2 linked regions of the Kluyveromyces lactis genome follow. The protein of the gene in region 1 interacts with the protein of each later gene in a pairwise test. Links are inferred from orthologs where the notes say so. Each region holds a gene or a part of one and is shown on either strand. Other genes may lie near its edges. The genes, in order: HGH1 and CNS1.

What was found.
Region 2: the proteins of HGH1 (region 1) and CNS1 interact in binary tests that used the Saccharomyces cerevisiae proteins (3 or more experiments, as listed by UniProt). The link is inferred for Kluyveromyces lactis from reciprocal best matches to the Saccharomyces cerevisiae genes HGH1 and CNS1.

The regions. Positions count from the first base shown.
Region 1 is NC_006042.1:1,426,085-1,429,492, forward strand, and holds HGH1 (Hgh1p), read right to left. Parts: upstream 1,914-3,408; coding exon 753-1,913; downstream 1-752. Other genes in the region: transcription factor IIF subunit TFG1, read left to right, coding at 1-567; EMC6 (Emc6p), read left to right, coding at 2,324-2,641; mRNA-binding protein PUF3, read right to left, coding at 3,039-3,408.
Region 2 is NC_006038.1:871,946-875,175, reverse strand, and holds CNS1 (HSP70/90 family co-chaperone CNS1), read left to right. Parts: upstream 1-1,303; coding exon 1,304-2,416; downstream 2,417-3,230. Other genes in the region: KLLA0_B09988g (glycosyltransferase family 15 protein), read left to right, coding at 1-838; SLI15 (Sli15p), read right to left, coding at 2,474-3,230. UniProt on the Saccharomyces cerevisiae protein: Co-chaperone that binds to the molecular chaperones Hsp90 (HSC82 and HSP82) and Hsp70 (SSA1). Stimulates SSA1 ATPase activity, but not Hsp90 ATPase activity. Involved in only a subset of Hsp90 functions.

The sequences.
Region 1 (3,408 bases):
GAAGAAGGTGAAAAAGTCAAGAAAGCCCTCCTTAAAACAGATCTGGGTGCTTTATATGAATCTGATGCAGAAGAGAACCCATATCTATCACACTCTGAGGAAGATGAAGAGCAAGCTGATTCGGATAAGAAAGATTCCGAGAAGGATAATGAAAAGCAAAGTCGGAGATCCTCACCAAAGAAGAAAGCTTCTGACACACCATCAGGTCCACCAAAATTAGTAGTAAAAAGCATTAATCAAAATATCGTTGTACTAACTGGTGAGAAATCAGTATTATCGAACTTCCCTGCAGGAGCCTGGAATCCAAACTTGAAGAAACGTCCAGCAGAGTCTCAGCCACAAGAATCTATGGACAATAAGAGGGCAAAGTCTGATCACTCGGCAGATGATTTGTTAACGGAAGACGATATAATCAATGCAATTGAGGGCAAGCAGTTGACTTTGAAACAATTAATCAGACAATTGAAAGAAAAGGTCGGTAGACATCCTGACAATAAAGAAAGAATGAAGGTTTTTGTCAAGAAACTTGTTAAACTGAACGGTAAATTCCTCGAATTGAGTAAGTAGTTAACATAATTTCCTCGTTTTCAAACCTCTGGAGATATACATGTAGTGATAATTGATATATATCACCTGGGTCCAATTGGAAGGGGCAGGAAATAGCATATTGATATAGTCAGTTTATTAACAATAAGTACGCTTAAAATAAATATATGTTATTTGAAAACAAGATATCTATAGGAAGTTATCATTTATAAAACTTCGACGATAGCATCGTCATCATCGTCGGACTCTTCTTCTTCTTCTTCTTCTTCTATCTCGGCTATTTCGCCATCTTCCGCAGATTTGGCCACGATTTCTTCTATCACTTGATTCTCCGGCTCACCTCTCATCAACATGTTAACAATTCTATGAGATAATTCACCGATATCGTCATTTCCAATATTTTTATGTAACTCTCTGACCAATGGGTATACTGATTTCGATCTTAAGTATTCTCTGCCGGCTTTAGTGGTACAAAGCAATAAAATACTTTCTAAATGCACACATATGATTTCAGGAATAGGATCTCTCTCTTTGTCGGCAGGTAAGAGTTGCAATTCATCCGGTAGATTGAACATATCTTCTTCATCAATTTCGGAGTCTTTAGCTGATGCAATCGGTAGAAGAATATAAGGTAAAAGATTGATTTCCTCATTAGTCAAAAGGTTTTCATGCTTTTCGGAATCAAATAACGAATTCTTGATGGTATAAGCCACACCTTCTCTTCTGGTTTTAGCATCATACTTTTCAGTGAATACCAATAGTTTAGAAATTGGGATGACGCCGTCATACTCCTGCTGTTCAATGAAATACTCTCTACCAATCTTAAATCTCGAAATGTCGGCAAAGAAATAAGCTAAGTAGTCATAAGTGGCATATCTGTTCAACTTTCTATCGTAACCCTTCACAAAACAATCCATTAAGCAATCCATTACTTTGTTGCTTTTAAAGACTTCTATGTTTAATGGAATACCATCGTCTTCCTTCTTAACAAACGAAAACAATTCGGTAATATTGTCTTCCTTGGCGAGATTAGACAATAAAATACACATGATATCCGCACTTGCGTTAGCTAAATCACAGATTTTCCACGATAAGTACTGTAGGAATTCAGTATCCTTGACGATCAACTTTCTCATAGTAACATCATCACATAAATTCGCTAAAATCGTAGTGGATTGTTGAACGATAACTTTTGACTTATCTTTAGCTAGAACTTTTAGATCCTCTATAGCTTTGTAATTATTACATTTGAAAATGACAGCACTTGCTCCAGTTGAGAAGCCAACCAGATTATCAAGAGCAATCTGTCTGACGGCAGGCTGGTCTGAATGCAAAAATGACACTAATTCTTCTAATTCCGTGGACATCTTCCCTCTTTATCGTATCAAGTAAACGCAGATATTTCGAACAAAGATGTTTTATTGAACAATGAAAGTTATAGTTGATTAGCTGGTGAACAATACCTAGTTACACCAACTGCCAACGTAGATATGGTTGATGCGATGAGCTGCGATGAGTTTGTCAAACGTTTCTCAAGTTTCGTGAAAGAAAAGGTTCGACTCTTTAAGGCGGGTAACAATTACATCAGCATCAAACCGACAATAACAGATCTCCATCTTCAATTAAATGAATAGAACCACCGTTAGAAACAGAGCTTTTCAATCTGCGATTCGATTGATCCTTAAGTGCTGCATTTATCATAATAAATCACTTTTATTCTAGTCTTGGCTTATTGCAACCAATTGCAATCATAACTACGAGATAACAGCATTGGAAAATGAGTTATCGCTTCACCGACCTAAAGTCTTCCAAAAGTGGAAGTTTCAACAACAACAAACTACTACGGATACAGGATTCTACAATGCTGACAGCAGGACTTAGTGCTGGGATATTGCAACTTCAATCTTTTGCAGGTTTTGGAATGTTTTTTGCTGTTTATATCCTGGTGAACCTCATATTTATAGCGTGGTTTTGCAAATTCAAGCCTAGTCTATATTTTACTAATCCAGTGCATAAAATATGGGTTAAAAATCTATTCCGCGAGCTAGCTGGGTTTGTCATGACTTGGACGTTAGCGTTCACTTTGGTCAGGTAACGCATATGACACATTTTGCATTAACGGGTTGATTTCATCTGAACGATATCACCATTAGGATTCTAGAAGTACTATAATATTATGGTCATTAAAACTTATAGCAGAGATAAATATTTGCATGTATTATAAACAGGATGATGATAAACAATATGTACATTTAAAGGATATTAATTTATTAGGTAGTAATCTGTTCTCAACAACAGATTTTAGAAGATATTAAGATCTTCGTGAGAGATATCACGGGGATACAAAACGTAAGAAATGGCAATCTTCATCAATAGAATGATTTAGAAAGTGAACCAGTTATTAGGGAAAGAAAGCGTGGTTATCAAATGCAAATATTCGAGGCAGAACAATTTTTTTTGTCTTGCTTTCCCAAGTTGAGGCTGACATACATCTATATCTGAATTTTTTCCACCAAAGTTGCTAACTTTTCAACACTAGCCAAATGCCTGTTACCCAAAGTGTTATTTTTATTGGATTTATCCAAATAGGATCTGATGGAAATAACAATCAACCTCTCATCTTCACCAGTTGCGACACCCACGAGCTTTTGAACAACGTAGTTCGCGTATTGATCCCGCATCATTAGAATCAATGGTGCATTATCTTCCAAATCAGCGGCGTGCTCTTCGTCTCTTGGTAGAATTTGATCCAAAATCTGTCTTATCTGGTTTTTGGATCCGTAAACTACTGACTTTTCAACAACATTGGAGGCAAATTTGTGTTTTGAATATTCAACAACATTCTTACGAATGATATCGATG
Region 2 (3,230 bases), on another chromosome or scaffold:
CGAAGAGTTCAAAGAACGTATCTCTGCCATTGTTCCAAACTCTCAATTCGGTGTTATACCGAAGGAACACTGGTCATACCCAGATTATGTTTCTAAAGAACGTGCAGCTCAAACTAGAATTGACATGCAGGATATAATCTACGGTGCTTCCGAGAGTTATCGTCACATGTGTCGCTTTCAATCGGGGTTCTTTTTCCAACATCCATTATTAGCCGAGTTCGATTGGTACTGGCGTGTCGAACCAAGTACCGAATTGCTATGCTCCATCGATTATGATATCTTCCAACAGATGCAGGATAAAGACTTAGGTCTCGGATTCGTCATTTCTATCCATGAATTTGTCATCACAATCCCAACTTTATGGAACACTACTCGTGGGTTCGCAGAAAAACATTCAGAATACATCCATAACGACAATTTGTTGAAGTTCATATCCGATGATGGTGGTGATAGTTATAACTTGTGTCATTTCTGGTCGAATTTCGAAGTCGCCAACCTAAATTTCTACAGATCAAAAGCATACACGGACTATTTCGATTATCTTGATCGCTCAGGTGGATTCTTCTACGAACGCTGGGGTGATGCTCCCGTACATTCAATTGCTGCATCGCTTTTCTTGCCTCGCAACAAATTGCACTTTTTCCAAGATATTGGATATCATCACCCTCCATACAACAATTGTCCGTTCGACAGCGGAATTAGAGCCAAGGGTAAATGTTACTGTGACCCAAAAACCGATTTCACATTCAGGGATTACGCTTGTGGTATTCAATATTACGAGGCCCAAGGCATTGAAAAACCCTTTAATTGGAAAGATTATAGTGGCCGAGGCTATTGATATGGAATCTCACCTGGCCACCATCCACACTTATCATATTAATTCTCCCCTTCCCCCCATTCCCCACGATACTGATAGAACAATACAATTTGGGGCGCATACAGTTTTTTAAACTTTAGTACTCACTCTTATTTATTTGATTACTTGCCAGTATATAATCTGGTAATATTACCGGGTGTTGTAATGGACACCACCATTCACTAAATCACGTGGTTTGTTGATCTTTTTCTCGACTCGCCAAGAGAGCTTTGACACAGAATTTTACAAGTTCTAGGAAAAAAATCTCATCTCATCTCATCGAGCGGAAAGTGACTGTTCAAAAAAGCCAGTTACTCTGTCTCCACAGCTTCTGATAACGCACTTGGTATAGTCAAATTCCTGCCTGATTCACATCGTCAGAAATTTAACATTATCTGTATTATCTGAAGGGTTTAAAAGGAGGATATCTACTAAGGCCTGCTCACAATGGAAAAACCAAAGAGGTATGTTCCAGGTCCAAATGACCCACTTTTACCACCACAACTATCTGAGTTCCAAAATAAAACCACTGATGAGGTATTGGAGGAGTTAAATAAGATGCCATTTTTTATGAACAAACTTGACCCAGATGAAAGCAATGTAGAGTTGGAAGCCTTAAAAGCCATGGCCTATGAAGGTGAGCCCCATGAAATTGCAACTAATTTCAAGAATCAAGGGAACGATCTTTACAAGGGTAAGAGGTTTAAGGATGCAAGGGCTATGTATTTGAAAGCTTTGGATGTTAAATGTGATGTACTATCTATCAATGAATCTTTGTATTTGAATTTGGCTGCTTGCGAGCTTGAAATTAAAAACTATAGAAGTTGTATCAATTACTGTAGGGAGGCACTCAAACTAAATGCAAAAAACGTTAAGGCATTTTTCAGAATAGGTAAGGCTTATCTCGAATTGGGAAGGTTCGAAGATTCTCTCGAGGCCGTTCAAGTTGGGCTTGCCGTGGATCCTGAAAATGGGGCATTAAAATCCATCCAGTCCAAAGCTACTGAAAAGCTTAAACGTAAAAAGGAGCTGGAGAATCGTACTTTAGCTCAAAAACAGAAGGAAAAGGAACTCCAAGAGTTTTTGGATCTGGCAGTACAAATAAGAAACATAACGCTAGTTGATACCAAACAACCAGCAGGTCTTTTGAAAGATACTAAACTCACATTGGAAAACCCAACAGATTTCGAATCACAATTAATATTTCCAGCTATGGTTCTTTATCCGACTACGGACGAGTTTGACTTTATCGCGTCTGTTTCTGAACTATCCACACCAAATGACCTTCTTGATGTTGTACTTAACAGACCGGCAGAATGGTTTGCACAACCAGGGCACAAAGATTTTACTGCATCTAAACTTCATGCATACATGGAAACTCTGTCTGGAGGCTTGATCAAGATTGGTAAAAAAGTTACCTTCCATGATGTTTTGAAGATGGAGAAGCCTAAGGCTCCTCTTTTCGATAAGTCTCTAAGAGTATACTTTGTACCAAAAACGGAGGCACAAGGATGGCTAGATAACTGGGATAAGAATGCAGCAATAATGAAACGATTGTAGATATTACAGACACTAGATATTGCATTATATAGACACGTCACTATGAATTAAGGTAATTTACCTTTTCTTAAGTTTTTGTAGTCTTGAAGTGCTAGTTTGAAAGATCTCATCGATATGTAGCGGTGGAATGGGGCCTAATATTTGCTCTATATCCCAATTTTGTTGCAACAACAATTGTTGCTTTAGTTTTTCTGGCTCAGCCCACGAAGTCAGTGTCCGCTCTACTTGGTTATTACCTTCATCATCAGAAATGATTTCAGGTAAAGTAACATCGTTGGAAGTTCTTTCCGTTTTTGGTGGTGCGCCGATATATTCCCTATAATCAACTGTATTGATATCATGTAACATGGAATTTGTACTGGCAGATTTAGAGAGTGGCGGTAATGTTGCGTTGTTACGATCTAAAAGAATCTTTGTTCTTCTTTTAGTATCCTCATCTGCCTGAGAAATCCTCCTCTGTTGGAGTTCATACTTTTTCCGCATTTGTTGCTCTTGCTGGTTACGCATCACTTCACTCAACCGCTTATTCAATTTTTGCTTTAGCGTGTCTTTCTCTTGTTTGTTGCTTGAACTGCCAGTAATTAGCTGGAATCTGGTCAATCTATCGTGCGAATTGGTTCTTTGATCAGATGATGTAGGAGAGATAGACGTTGATTTATGAGTGGATAACTGTGGTATTACAGGAGGCTGCGATACTTCCTCTGGAAGCTGCTTCTTAGCACGAATGTTGTTGGTTTCATTTGATTGTGTTATATTTTCCCTGATTAAACCTTTTACTGGTGTAAGTTCTTTGATTCTTGGTATTAAAGACTTT